2 linked regions of the Stegostoma tigrinum genome follow. The protein of the gene in region 2 interacts with the protein of the main gene of each other region in a pairwise test. Links are inferred from orthologs where the notes say so. Each region holds a gene or a part of one and is shown on either strand. Other genes may lie near its edges.

The links. The genes of interacting proteins can lie anywhere in the genome.
Region 1: the proteins of kifap3a (region 2) and ncf2 interact in binary tests that used the Homo sapiens proteins (3 or more experiments, as listed by UniProt). The two-hybrid records come from large-scale screens. The link is inferred for Stegostoma tigrinum from reciprocal best matches to the Homo sapiens genes KIFAP3 and NCF2.

The regions. Positions count from the first base shown.
Region 1 is NC_081361.1:45,931,350-45,939,361, reverse strand, and holds the start of ncf2 (neutrophil cytosol factor 2), read left to right. Parts: upstream 1-4,864; 5' UTR 4,865-5,246; coding exon 5,247-5,420; intron 5,421-8,012. UniProt on the Homo sapiens protein: Subunit of the phagocyte NADPH oxidase complex that mediates the transfer of electrons from cytosolic NADPH to O2 to produce the superoxide anion (O2(-)).
Region 2 is NC_081361.1:46,861,253-46,869,232, reverse strand, and holds the start of kifap3a (kinesin-associated protein 3a), read left to right. Parts: upstream 1-4,891; 5' UTR 4,892-5,033; coding exon 5,034-5,065; intron 5,066-7,980. Other genes in the region: ntmt2 (N-terminal Xaa-Pro-Lys N-methyltransferase 2), read right to left, coding at 2,451-2,616. UniProt on the Homo sapiens protein: Involved in tethering the chromosomes to the spindle pole and in chromosome movement. Binds to the tail domain of the KIF3A/KIF3B heterodimer to form a heterotrimeric KIF3 complex and may regulate the membrane binding of this complex.

The sequences.
Region 1 (8,012 bases), about 930 kb from region 2:
AGCATGCGTTTGTCCAGATTAAACTCCATCTGGCATTTCTCCGTCCAAGTCTCCAGTCTATCTATATCCTGCTGTATCATCAGGCAAACCCTCTTACCGTATGCAACTCACCACGTCTTTCAAATAACAAGTGTCCCAGCATGGAATCCCTGTGAAGCGCCACTGGTCACAGATCTCCAATCCAAAAAACACCCTTCCACCACCACTCTGTCTTCTATGACTATATCATCTTGCCATGAAGGACCTTGACAAAGGCCTTGCTAAAGTCCATGTAGATAACATCTACTGCCCTACCCTCATCAATCATCTTTGTCCCTCCCTCTAAAAACTCAATCAGGTTTGTCAGACACTGCCTTCCCCACACAAAGCCACACTATCGCTAGTAAGTTCATATCTCTCCAAATCTGAGTAAAACCTTTCCCTAAGAATTTTCCCCAATAACTTCCCTGCCGCTGACGTAAGGCTCACTGGCCTGTAATTACCTGGACTGTCCCTGTTGCCCTTCTTAAACAATGGAAAAATGCTGGTTACTCTCTAGTCCTCTGGGACCTCTCCTATGTCTAAGAAGGATAGAAAGCTTTTGTACAATGCCCCAGCAATTTCATCACCTGGTTCCCTCAGCATTCTGGGATTGATCCCTATCAGGTCCTGGGGACTTGTCTACCCTAATGCTTTTTAAAACACTGAAACCTCCTCCTTTTTTACAATTACATACCCCAGAATATCGACAAACCCTTCCCGAGACACACCAACCACCACACCTTTCTGAATATTTCTACCCTGGGAAAATAACTTTGATTATCCTGTCTATCCATGCCCTCATAATTTTGTAAACTTCTATCAGGTCACCCCCTCATCTTTTGACATTCAAGTGAAAGCAAACCAAGTTTGTCCAATATCTTATTGAGCCTAATACCATTCAGATCAGGCAACATCCTAGTAAATCATATCTGTACTCCCTCCAAAACCTCCTTGTCAAGGATCACAGCCACTTGCTTCAGCTTCCTGCAAAAACTCCTGCAGGACCTGAGCCTACAGAGCAGAAAGATCAGGACCAGTATCAACAGCATGGCAGAGAGGAGAGCTCATGATGACAATGTACAGTGTGAAGACAGGAGAGATCAGGACCATAGTCTACAGTGGGACAGACAGGAGAGATCAGCACCATAGTCTACAGTGTCACAGAGAGGAGAGATCAGCACCATAGTCTACAGTGGGACAGACAGGAGAGATCAGCACCATAGTCTACCATGTCACAGAGAGGAGAGATCAGCAGCATAGTCTACAGTGGGACAGACAGGAGAGATCAGCACCATAGTCTACCGTGTCACAGAGAGAGGAGATCAGCAGCATAGTCTTCAGTGGGACAGGCAGGAGAGATCAGCACCATAGTCTACCATGTCACAGAGAGGAGAGATCAGCACCATAGTCTACAGTGTCACAGACAGGAGAGATCAGCACCATAGTCTACCATGTCACAGAGAGGAGAGATCAGCACCATAGTCTACAGTGGGACAGAGAGGAGAGATCAGCACCATAGTCTACAGTGTCACAGAGAGAGGAGATCAGCACTATAGTCTACAGTGACACAGAGAGGAGAGATCAGCACCATAGTCTACAGTGTCACAGAGAGGAGAGATCAGCACTATAGTCTACAGTGGGACAGGCAGGAGAGATCAGCTCCTTAGTCTACAGTGTCACAGAGAGGAGAGATCAGCACCATAGTCTACAGTGGGACAGAGAGGAGAGATCAGCACCATAGTCTACCATGTCACAGAGAGGAGAGATCAGCAGCATAGTCTACAGTGGGACAGACAGGGGAGATCAGCACCATAGTCTACCATGTCACAGAGAGGAGAGATCAGCACCATAGTCTACAGTGTCACAGACAGGAGAGATCAGCACCATAGTCTACAGTGGGACAGACAGGAGAGATCAGCACCATAGTCTACCATGTCACAGAGAGGAGAGATCAGCAGCATAGTCTACAGTGGGACAGACAGGAGAGATCAGCACCATAGTCTACAGTGTCACAGACAGGAGAGACCAGCACCATAGTCTACAGTGGGACAGGCAGGAGAGATCAGCTCCTTAGTCTACAGTGTCACAGAGAGGAGAGATCAGCACCATAGTCTACAGTGGGACAGAGAGGAGAGATCAGCACCATAGTCTACAGTGTCACAGAGAGAGGAGATCAGCACCATAGTCTACAGTGTCACAGAGAGGAGAGATCAGCACTATAGTCTACAGTGGGACAGACAGGAGAGATCAGCACCATAGTCTACAGTGTCACAGACAGGAGAGATCAGCAGCATAGTCTACAGTGGGACAGACAGGAGAGATCAGCACCATAGTCTACAGTGGGACAGACAGGAGAGATCAGCAGCATAGTCTACAGTGGGACAGACAGGAGAGATCAGCACTATAGTCGACAGTGTCACAGAGAGGAGAGATCAGCACCATAGTCTACAGTGTCACAGAGAGAGGAGATCAGCACCATAGTCTACAGTGGGACAGGCAGGAGAGATCAGCACCATAGTCTACAGTGGGACAGACAGGAGAGATCAGCACCATAGTCTACAGTGGGACAGACAGGAGAGATCAGCACTATAGTCGACAGTGTCACAGAGAGGAGAGATCAGCACCACAGTCTACAGTGGGACAGGCAGGAGAGATCAGCTCCTTAGTCTACAGTGTCACAGAGAGGAGAGATCAGCACCATATTCTACAGTGGGACAGACAGGAGAGATCAGCACCATCGTCTACAGTGTCACAGAGAGGAGAGATCAGCACCATCGTCTACAGTGGGACAGGCAGGAGAGATCAGCTCCTTAGTCTACAGTGGGACAGACAGGAGAGATCAGCACCATCGTCTACAGTGTGAGAGACAGGACAGATCAACACCATAGTCTACAGTGGGACAGACAGGAGAGATCAGCACCTTAGTCTACAGTGTCACACAGAACAGAGATCAGCACCATAGTCTACAGTGGGACAGAGAGGAGACACCAGCACTATAGTCTACAGTGTCACAGAGAGGAGAGGTCAGCACCTCAGTCTACAGTGGGACAGACAGGAGAGATCAGCACCATAGTCTAGTGTCACAGAGAGGAGAGATCAGCACCATAGTCTACAGTGGGACAGACAGGAGAGATCAGCTCCTTAGTCTACAGTGTCACAGAGAGGAGAGATCAGCACCATAGTCTACAGTGGGACAGACAGGAGAGATCAGCACCATAGTCTACAGTGTCACAGACAGGAGAGATCAGCACCATAGTCTACAGTGTCACAGACAGGAGAGATCAGCACCATAGTCTACAGTGGGACAGGCAGGAGAGATCAGCTCCTTAGTCTACAGTGTCACAGAGAGGAGAGATCAGCACCATATTCTACAGTGGGACAGACAGGAGAGATCAGCACCATAGTCTACAGTGTCACAGAGAGGAGAGATCAGCACCATAGTCTACAGTGTCACGGATAGGTGAGATCAGCACCCTAGTCTACAGTGTCACAGATAGGAGAGATCAGGACCATAGTCTACAGTGTCACGGATAGGTGAGATCAGCACCATAGTCTACAGTGGGACAGACAGGAGAGATCAGCACCTTAGTCTACAGTGTCACAGAGAGCAGAGATCACCACCATAGTCTACAGTGTGAGAGACAGGAGAGATCAGCACCATAGTCTACAGTGTCACAGAGAGGAGAGATCAGCATCATAGTCTACAGTGTGAGAGACAGGAGAGATCGGCACCATAGCCTACAGTGTACAAACTTTGGAAAAAGGAATACAGGCATGGACAATTGTCTAAATGGTGAGAAAATTTGTAAAGCAGAAGTACAAAGTGATCTGGGAGTGTTGGTCCAGGATTCTCTAAAGGTTAACTTGCAGGTAGGGTCCGTGATTAAGAAAGCGAATGTAATGTTGTCGGTTATCTCAAGAGGGCTGGAATATAAAAGCAGTGACGTGTTTCTGAGACTTTATAAAGCTCTAGTTGGACCCTATTTAGAATGCTGTGTCCAATTTTGGCCCCCACACCTCAGGAAGGACAAACTGGAGCTGGAGCATGTCCAGTGGAGATTTACATGGATGATCCGTGGAATGGTTGGCCTAACATACGATGAACGGCTGAGGATCCCTGGGATTGTATTCATTAGAGTTTAGAAGGTTGAGGGGAGATCTAATAGAAACTTACAAGATAATGTATGGTTTAGAAGGGGTAGACGCTAAGACGTTGTTTCTATTAGGAGGGGAGACTAGGACCCACGGGCACAGCCTTAGAATTAGAGGCGGTAAATTTAAAACAGAAATGAGGAGACATTTCTTCAGCCAGAGTGTGGTGGGCCTGTGGAATTCATTGCCACGGAGTGCAGTGGAGGCCGGGACGTTGGATGCCTTCAAGGCAGAGATCGATAAACTCTTGATCTCACAAGGAATCAAGGGCTACGGGGAGAGTGCAGGGAAGTGGAGTTGAAACGCCCATCAGCCATGATTTAAATGGCGGAGTGGACTCGATGGGCCGAATGGCCTTAATTCCACTCCTACGTCTTATGGTCTTAAATCTACATCGGGGGGTGCAAAGGGAATCTATGACAATGCTACTCACCAAATCTTAGCGCTTTTTTGCTTTTCTTTGTGATTGGAAATGATGTCCCTTCAGTACTTTGTTAGCTGCGCATTTGGTCTGTCTGTAATGGCCTCCCTGTTTGTTGACGATGTTACTGTTGTCAGGGAAATATAGAGGCGGTGTCTGAAGCGTCAGTCTGACAGCTGCTGGAACACAAACTGCCCAGAGTTAAATTTTTTAGCCAGCCGTTTCCAGCATCGAAAATACTTGATTTAGAAGTTTGCAACAGGAAACTAAAATACAAAACATATAAAAATATTTGTGGAAGGTGCGGGAGGATTGGTAAATCAATTAATTTGCCTTTAGACTGTTATAATCTCTCTTATGTTCATGGTAAGGTTTGGATTTGTCAGACCGTTCACATCTCCACAGGACTTGCAGCCACTATATCAAAAGGCAATGTCAGTGAGTTAACTTCCTATGAAACTGGTCTAGTCACAGCTAAAGTTGGGCTCATGGTCACATTTCCTGTAGTATTTCTATAGCGTATTCAGTCAAGCGGAGGAAGCAGACGGTAAAAGAAGCAGTGCGTTGAAATTAGTTGCTGGTTTAGCCAGTGCATACAAACCACGCTATTTCACGCGCTGCAGCTTGTATACATTAAACGGCCGGGCTCAGTATGTCTCTAACAGACACCATCAAATTATGGGATGAAGGCATTACTGCAGCAGACCGCCAGGAGTGGCTAACCGCACTCAACCTGTTCACCACTATACTCGAGCCCAGCTCCAAAATCTGTTTCAACATCGGCTGCCTGCATCTCCTCCGCAGAGAATGGAGCCAGGCTGAGAAGGTAAGTTGCTGTCACAGTTCCACATTTTGAAGGTGTATTCGGAATTACTTGAAATGCTTCTGTTTTTATTCCAAGACATATCAAAATAACAAGAGGGTTACAATTCACTGATTAACATTGTAAACGCTGAGCAAAATATAACAAGTAGACATTTCATTTGAGAAGATTAAACCCACAAGAATAGTAGGAAACGTAGTTAGTTCGTGTTTTACAGGGAAGTGAAGCAGTTTGTTTATTGCTTTATGGAAACCAAAATGTACCGAAAAAGTGGAAATGAAACTGCTCATGACATATAAATCAATTTCACAATTTACTGGATATTAATCCAACAATTGTGTTACATTGGTGCAATTGTGAGTTCAGTTTTAATATAAATTAAAGAAAAGCAAAGATTTACAACAAACCCCATTGAAAATTACAAAGGGCAAAGGAATCAAAGGCATGTATCATTTTTCCTTCACGTGTCAGGCAGTGATCATCAACAAGAAAAATCTTCAGTACCTTCTCCTAATTCTCTACAATAATAACGCTGTGACTACAGAAAACTATTAGCTGCAATTCAACTCTTAACTTCACTCCAGCATTGTCACTGAATCAATCTCCTGCCATTTCCTACCAGGAGCATGATCAACCAAGCTATTTGTTCCTCATTTCCCTCAGAATCCTTTGATATATTTCATCAGGTCTCAGAATATTTAGATAACCAAACTTCTTTAATAGTTTCCTTTTATTTATGATGTTATTCAGCTCATGTTAACCCTATTCAGGATTTCTCTGCATTCCATGTTGTTAAACACTGAAATGAAACACTTGTTAACTATTCCTGCTAATTTCTACTTATCCTTCACTACCTCTGTATCCCGTCCCCTCAGAATCAACCTCACTTTTAAAAATTTACTCTTTATTACTGACACTCGCACACCACCTTACTGTTTGTCACGATGATATAAGAGTACGAAATATTAATCTGTAAATCTTATCAATGAATTTAAAAGCCATGGACTTTTGTCTTTGAGTGAACAGTTAATAATAAGTTTGGGATACCTTAAAATGGTTTTCAATGTCACCTGACCTGAAGGTAGCCAAGCTGCACTGGGATTTACAAAAGAATGTTTAAGAAACTTGGCTGACCATATTCCCGAAAATGTTATCTAAGGATAATTACCTGAACATCAAAATTCAGCATCTTCAATATGTAGCTCGCAATGAGATCTTCAAATGCCTTGGCAATGATTGAAATTGCAGAGATAATGGGGACTGCAGATGCTGGAGAATCCGAGATAACAAAAGCTGATGTTTCGGGCCTAGATCCTCTCTGATGAAGGGTCTAGGCCCGAAACGTCAGCTTTTGTGCTCCTGAGATGCTGCTTGGCCTGCTGTGTTCATTGAAATTGCAGATATTATTGGAACAACGAATTAAACCAAAACTTACTATGTAAAGAGGAGGATTGAACCACTGTTCCCCAAACCCCATCACCTGAACCTACAACAAGGGGAAACCGCAAACCTCTTTGAGAATTGATTAATCGTTATTGTGACCTAACAGCCAATGTTTACACATCGAAACATCACTTCTGTGTGGGGCCATGATGATTCGTTTGTGCTTGTTGCTAAAGAGGGCAGTAACATCCAGTCACATCAAAAGATGAAGAGCTTCCCTTTCACTGGACGTGGTGTGCCCAATTCTGTAAGATGATCAGATCTGATGAAAATACTGAATGTGCATACTTGCTGTACACAAATCCAGGACAACAGCAGAACCAGTTCAGTTGTAACCACCAGAACTTTAAAATCAACATCAGAAAATATAATCCTTCACCTGAGAACTGTAATCATTTCTCAATTCCAACCTCCCTCATCCTGTCCTTGTTCTGATTGCTCGCACATTTATGTATGTGTGTGTGTGTGTGTGAACGTGCATGCATGTGTGTGTGTGTGTGTGCATGTGTGTGTTTGTTTGTGTGTATGTTGGTGTGAGTTTGTGTGTTTCTGACATGGAATTCCAAGTTAGGTTATACCTTTTAAGTAATATTTATACTTCGTACTCAGTGAGTTTACAATAAAAAAGCCACTTCATTTTAACTAACTTAAAAGGATTTTCTGTCTTGTTTTTCATAGCTTTAATGCATAACCAAGCACATACTGAATTAGGGAAAAATACATTTGTTTAAAATTTAAAACATTGCTAAACCAAGAGCAAGAGGAAATGAGAAGAATTTGCCCACCCCTTTAGACTCGGTTGCAAGATGTTTAAAAATATTTTTTGAGATACACTCCTTACTTTCGTTTTATTCCACTCTCTCATGGGATGTGCGTGTTGCTGGCTGGCCAGTATTTATTGCCCTTCAGAAGGTGGTAGGGAGCTGCCTTCTTGAACCACTGCAGTCCATGTGCTGTAGCCTGACCCACAATGCCTTTTCAGAGGAAATTCCAGGATTTTGACCCAGGAACAGTGATGTAATTCCATGTCAGGATGACGAGTGGCTAGCAGGGGAATTTGCAGATGGTGGTGCTCTCGTGCATCTGTTGCCATTGTCATTCTAGATGGTACTGATCATGGGTTTGGAAGTTGCTACCTCAAGATCTTTGGTG
Region 2 (7,980 bases):
TTTGCTCAGTGTTTTAAAATTAATGTTCGACAGTACCTGTGCTTAATCAACAGTGCAATGTGACACTTTGATAAATGGTGCTTTCCATTGTATATTGGGGCCCTCCACATTATTTTCTTTTGCGGCAGCCTGAATTTGTTCAGCGTTGCATTGAATGTGATTTGGATAAAATATACAATTAATTATTATAACAGCAATACTGTAAATGTATCATGTGGCATAAGAATGTAAACAGGTTTAGTATTCACAGCAAAAACGAACTGCATAATTCACTATAGAAAGCAGCCAATATAAATTATATATAAGCATGTTAATCCCATGTAATCGGCTATAATGGAAAATGACCTGTCAATACAGTGCTGATTCATGCTGTACCATTGGGCTGCAGCTCATTCTCATGAATTAACATTCTGCATTACTTGCTTCGATTGCAGGTACTGTGGTAATGCTGCTAATTTGGTCAAACTGAAAAAGTACTTCAAATAAATAATACAATACAGTAAGGTAATCAATACTTGGTTGAGGGGTTTAGATGAAGTTGCCATGTGATTTGCTCTATGCTCATGTTTGCTATAATACTGTTGGTAGCACTATTGCTGCTGAGATACTGGATTCAAGCCCTACTCCAGTGCTTAAATATCAATGTTGACACTCCAGTGTAGTACTGAAGGACTGCTGCTCTATTGGAGATGCTATCTTTTGGAAGAAATGTCAAACCAAGGCCTCAATTTCATGTTTGGATGAACATAAAAGATCACTGCATTATTCTAAAGTATGGGGGATTTATCCTCAGTGTCATATTGATATGTATTTTTTAACCAACATCACAAAACACATTTTCTGTCCATTATCAAACTGTCAGGGGTGTGCAAATTGACTCATTTCTTGCATTGCAACTGCGTCCATTTGCACTTTGGAAGTGCTTCCTTAATGATAAATGTTTTGAGATGTTCAATGACTGTGAAAAGCATTTTTACTTATTTGTTTGTTTACTCAGTTGTGACAGAATAATCAACAGTAACAAATCCCAACCATGTCTGATGTGCAGTCACCTTCACACACAAAAACATTCTGGTGCCAGTTTTCTCCCACCCCTCTTACTTTTTCATGGAGACATTATCTGCTATGGGACTTATGAAGAGAGCCGTTCTTTTAATTAGACTTACAACATACAGTCCTTGTGCAGTGCTCAGCCTAAGAAGTACTCCATTTCCAGCCCTTTGGTGCACTATGGCTGAAAGGACCCAGGGAGCAACCTATCCCATTTGTGTCTCTGCTGCAGCTGCTCCAACTCTAGTGTGTCTCTCAACATGTAATTCTGGACCGTAGAATGTGCCAGTCTGCAATATTTAACTGAGGACAACTCCCTCAATGAAAGGCCAGCAAGCTTAGGGCAGACCAAAGAGCATCTTTTACTGAGTTGATAGTTCTTCAGGCACTGTTTATGATTGTCTTGGTTTACAGCCCTGAGAACAACCCATAGAACACAAAATTCCTGCATCAGAATGAAAGATGTTATATAGAGTGTTATATCTGTTTGCCTTTTGCAGTTTCAGATTTGAAATGCTTTTGCTGTTGGGTGTCTACCTCAAATGGGATGTGTCGTGTAAATATTCCGACCTTTACAATTGCTTCAAGTGGAATATGTTAAATGGAACAAGTTGAATTTTTTGTAAATATTGTGATATTGTAATTACGGTAATGTAGTTTTCATAAATGTTATTAATAATGTACATTGTTGGAATAAGCATCCTTTTAATTAGAAGAAAACATAAACAGCTCTAATACTGTGGTTTATTTGCTTCATATAAACTCCTAGTGAGTTTTGCCATATTTAATCATATGATGACCAACACATAAAGCCTTTCCCAAGTAGATTTTCGGAGTAGGTGATAATCTATCTCAAAATGCCCGATATCTTCAGCAATTTAGAAAACATCCAAATCGAAGCACTAGTGTAAATACATTCGATTTTATTTGATGGATGGGTTGTGACTCAGGATATTGGCCAACATTTACCCTTCAATCAAAATCACAAAACGCCTCATAGCTGTTCAGTATCATATTGCTGACTATGGGAGTTTTACTGTGCGCAAAACTGCCCAGTTTCCTGCATTACGCCAATACGCAATTACACGTTTAAAAGTATTTTATTAGCTGCAAAGCATTTTGCGCGGTCTAGTGGTCGTGGAAGGTGTCGTAACGATTCAAAACTGTAATCGTTCGGCTAAATTTGCTGAAACGCTGCCGCACAATCGAGTGGTATTTTAATCAATGACTGAATGATAAAACTTAGCCAATATGCTCTAAAGAATCCGAAAATATACGTAGCCCCCTTTAAATAAATGTTGCGTTTTACAATAACATTGAGCCGCAGTTTATGTTTGCTGCGATATTTTCACTCACTCTGCCTTTCCTATACGGGTATGGCAGCCATCACTCCAACTCACCCAAAGGCAACTGCTCCAACAGAAAGAGGTAACTGGAAAAGAAGTCACTCCTAATGGTTTTATGGAGAAAGAAAGACATGCTGTTGCGGCACATATCATCGTCAGTTCTGTCCCACCGCGACTTAAAAGCATAGTGGGCTTTTTTCCACTCCACCTTTTCTTCCATTGTATTTTAGAGTTTGGGATGTCGCTGGGTTTCCTCTATTTCTCCAGGTAATTTTCGGCGATTCGGATCCCACGGTGTAACTTCCCGGTATCTCTGTTCTTAACAACTTGGCGCTAGTCCTTGGACTGATCAGGCTCCGATCCCCCAAGCAGGTGCTGAAAACGCGCCTCCGTATGAACTCCAACCCTCCTACCCAACCAGCTCTGCCTACATTGATCTCATTTCAGCATATTCTGGAAATCCTAAATCCTGGTGTAAAACAAAGCTTTCGGACCACAAAACTTTGCTGAATGTGAATCTTACTAAATGGTCCATTGAGGTTTGTACAAAGTTCAAACACTTCCTGAGATTATGCAGGAAAATTGTGGTTCCGTGAGATGACAGGGAACCTAAGTGCCCAGTCAATGATTTGTGTTATGTATGCCAGTGACGCATCGTGAAAGGAGATGGATTTATCTGCGACTGAGATCCACTTCCCCTTCGTACAGTGAAGGAATTAGCAACTTCAAAAAAACATGAGCTGGGTCGCTCAGTAAGTTTGAGAGGAGAAATGCATTAGAAAAATTCACAAACATGGGAGATTGGGGAAATGTGGAGAGGCAAACTCGTAAAGCAAGACGCGTGGATTTTAATCATTTAAGACGACAACTCTACCATCATAACCTTCGGTTACATTTTCTCCAACCCAAATAACCTGTCTGAGAGATTATTCAAAACTTATTTTTATTCTTAGAGAAAACACATTTCTCATTTGTTTGATAAATGATGTGCTACAGCTACTGTTAAATGAATTGTGAAGATTACTACACATTATGAACAACTTGCATGTAAAAGAAAACTAGCATTGTTATTGTACCTTTCACGACCACGTGATATCCCAAAGCACTTTACAGTCAATGAAATATTTTATACAGTCACTACTGTCAAATAGAACATGTGGAAGTCATTTTGCACATTACCAGCCCCACAAACAGCAAATCGATGATGATCGAATAATTTTGGTGATATTGATTGAGAGATACATATTGCCCATTTTCTTGGTCTTTTTCTAAAAAAAAAGTGCCAGAGGATAGTTTACATCCACCTGAGAGGACAGACAGGATTTTGGTTTAATGTCTTACCTGAAAGCATCACAAAGGACAGAATGCACTGGAATGTCAGCTTGAATTTTTGTGATTAAGCCTTGGAATGGGACCTTAACCCACAACCTTTCTGTCTTTATTAAAATGTTTCAAGACTGTTCCTAAATGTGTATTTAAACATATTGTCACTCAGTCAAAGAAGGGGCAATTAAGAGTTATGGCTCAACGTTAATCAGAAACGATATGCTTTAAAAAAGGATAAGAGAATTGAGATAGATGGAAGAGTAGAGATTTAAGAGATTGAATCCCAGAGTTTAGGGGCTTCACTTTTCAAGTCATACGAACTAAAAGTAGGATATAAAAAGTGGAAATGAGCAAGAGACCAGAGTTGGAAGGAAGAAGAGTCCTGGGTAGCTCTCAGACTGGAGTATATTTGCAGAAGTGAAAATTGGAGGGACCCTATAGGGACTGCAGGTGAGGGACAATCAGGACTTCATGCAGTTTAGTAGGTCATCGGTGATAGATGAATACAAGACATGATATAGGCGACAAAATTTTGGATGAAAACGGAAATAACTGCGGATGCTGTAAATCAGGAACAAAAACAAAGTTGCTGGAAAATCTCAGACATAGTAGGAACTGGCCATGCTGGAGTCTGAGATAACAACGTGTGGAACTGGATGAACACAGCAGGCCTAGCCGAAACGTCAGCTTTTGTGCTCCTGAGATGCTGCTTGGCCTGCTGTGTTCATCCAGCCTCACATTTTATTATCTTAACGTTTCGGGTCCGTTGACCCTCAGAATCCGTTCACCGGACCCGAAACGTTAACGCTGTTTTTTCCTTCACAGATGCTGCCAGACCTGCCAAAATTTTGGATGAGTTGAAGTTTAAGGAGAACATACGAAGTTGTGATTTAAGGTGACAAAAGGTATGGATGAGGGCACGGAGAGTGATTTCAATCACGATATTTAATATTTCCTTTCATAGTTGGGCATTCTTTTCTCTGTTTGCACCTTTGCGAAGTTTCTGAACGTTTTGATTTGTTTTCTGTAAATGCAAGCTGTTTCTGCTGGTGACGACTCTTTCGATCGCAGTCCCGTTGACCTGGAGTTATTGTTGTTGGCCTAGTGGGGGTGCTGCAGGCGGAGTGTCCATCGTTGTCGGTTTAGTTCCGCCCTCCAGCGCAGGCTCCGCCCGCGCGTACCGCTGCGGATTGTGGGGCGGCTGCACTTGTCTCTGGTAACCCGGGGAGATGTGAGGGTGGCTTTGCTGTTGGGTAAAGTAAGCAAACAAAGAAACTGCTTTTGCAGACAGAATTGGAGCGGCCGATAAAGATGCAACCGGAAGATGCTCGCTACCTGAAGAGGTTGGTGCTGTAACAGGGGCAGGGTGTTGGTGGTTGCTTTTTTGGAAGGACCGGGTTGGGCCCAGGAACCTGCAGTCGCTGTTGTTGCATTTTGTGACTGCGGCACCTTAATCATTCTGCTGTTAACGTCTACTTCGCAGCTGCTCTCTCAGCTGTGGGTTTGACAGACATTTGTGCAGCGCGTATAATACTCTTCTCCCTTGTTGATGCTGACACTACCATAGCGTTCGTTTCAAGGTTGCTCTCAGATACATTCTATTAATGCATTCTGAATGAGTCAGCCTGGATCGTTAATATTACTATCCCCCCTTTTTTAATGGAGAGCATCATTCGCAGTTAAACTGAATCTTCGCTTACTGAGAAGGATTTCTTTTCCTACCACACCCTCGTTTGGAGAGGTCAGTTGCGTCCTATTATCACTGTCGTGATGATGATTGGGATACTCGCCAGATGAGCTCGTTGAGTGATGAGAACCAATGGTGGTTACCATCCGGGCTATTATCAGGTGGTAACTGGCGAATTTCAGGTCGTCTATAATTCTGTATTGACAGAAGTGACGTCTTGTGAATTTACAGTAAATTTGGCATTGTTTGTGATGGGGAGAGGAGGATAATGGGGAACCACGGATTGTGAACTCCAGGTTAGGAGTACTTTCTCTATAAAGTATTCAATTTGTGTCGAATAAAAGCAATCAACCTGTTATATGTATTTTAAAAAATTGTTTTACATTTATGTTCAAACAACAAATGGATAAATAACAGGTTAAGCACAGCTTATACAATTCAACTTGAGTAACAACAAATGATTGGTGCACTGTCAGTCAAAGCAGGACCAAATATTCTAATGCTTGTGACAAATACAATAGAAATAGGTGTAATCTACTTAGCCCTCAATCTTGTCCTATTATTCAGTAATAACATGGTTGTAATCTAATTCCATTTATTGACCTTTGCCCCTTATCCCTAATACCTTTGGCTAACAAGCAAATATCACACTTTTAAATTGACAGTTTATCTAACATTAATTGCCACGTGTGGAAGATGTTTCCAAACTTCTACCATACTTTGCAAAAGGACATATTTCCTAATGTCACTTCTGAAAAGTTTGAATTTTTTGACTATGCCATAAATTTTAGTTTTCCTAACTAATGGAAAATACTTCTCCAATCTAGCCTATCTGTTCACTTAATATCTTGATAATTGTAATCAAAGCACTTCCAAAATCCAAGAAACCTATTCTTAGTGTGTATAATACAAACAGAAATTCCTGGTGAAACTCAGCAAGTCTGGCACCAGCTGTGGAGAGAAAGCAGAGTTAATGTTTCAAGTCTAGTGGTCCTGGATCTTCAGCACCTGTAGTTTTTATTTTATTAGTTTATGTATTCTCTTTGTTCTCTCTTGGCATTGATACAATTCTGGGAGGTCTGTGATATGCCCCTCAAAGTCCAACACATTCATCCTGACTTCTGGTTTCCAGAACTGCTTAAAGTTGCCTAACCAGGTCTTTTTATAAGAGATAATGGGAACTGCAGGTACTGGAGAATCTGAGATAACAAAGTCTGGAGCTGGACGAACACAACAGGCCAAGCACCATCTTAGGAGCACAAAAGCGTGTGTAGATTAAATTTTGATAAAGTGTGAAGCTGGATGAACACAGCAGGCCAAGCAGCATCTCAGGAGCACAAAAGCTGACGTTTCGGGCCTAGACCCTTCATCTGATGAAGGGTCTAGGCCCGAAACGTCAGCTTTTGTGCTCCTGAGATGCTGCTTGGCCTGCTGTGTTCATCCAGCTTCACACTTTATTATCTTGGATTCTCCAGCATCTGCAGTTCCCATTATCACTATAGATTAAATTTTATCCCCTTGTGTTCATTACCCTTGATATAAATTTATGGCTCTATAAATTTACCCTCTTTATGAATGCCAACATTCCAGTAACTTTACTACCTACTTTTTGATACCTGTTTGTGACACTTCAGTAATGTGTATTTGGAATTCCTAGTCTTTATGACCATCTCAGTTTACAGCATTACACCATTTAGGGAGTATTCTGTTCTATTTCTAGTTAGAAAATGGATGAACTTGCATTTATCTGCATTGAAATCTCTTTCACCCTTTACTTAATTGTTGATAATGTCGTGGTTTTGTTTTCATGTCAACAATTACATTATCTAAATTATTGAAAGCAATGTATAATTGAGATCTCAACATACACCCTTTGGATCTTACGTGCCAATTTTTGATATTATCACCACTCTGCCACTTGTACAGCCAATTTATTAACCAGGTCAACAAATTACCTTACATTCCATGAGCTTCAATTTCAGTACAAAGACTCAACTGCTCTTTGGAAGTTCATATATTAGTGAGAATGAAGCATATTTGCAAACTAAAGTAGATTTAGTAGGGTATTTTAAGGAAATTAACAAGCACCATGCATATCCAGGATATGTGTTCACTGTAAGGCAGTTGACTTTTCTATAAAGTAACTGAATGCATTTATATTGAAATTGATAACTGAAATAATTTTTCAAATAACGAACAATGGAAAGATTATCTGGTGGTAGGAGACCTGGGGCCAAACAAAAAAAGCAAGAAAAAGTGGAAACATTTAGATTGTAGTCTTTTGCCCTGGATGCTACAGACTGGATTTTAACTGGACAGAATCACATTTACATTTTTGCCAGACTCATTCTGTTGCCCTTTCTAGACTGTTCTGATAGTCTGTGCATAGTTCCTCTCTGAAAACTGAAATGTTGGACATCTAAAAACAGCACTTTACACTTCAACGTTGTAAATTTCCAAATCGTGGTTTGCAAAATGATAATTGATAGCAACTTGTAACTACATTGTCTTTAACATAAAATTACCCAAGGTGCTCTACAGAGACATTATAAAACAGTGGCATGGTGGGTC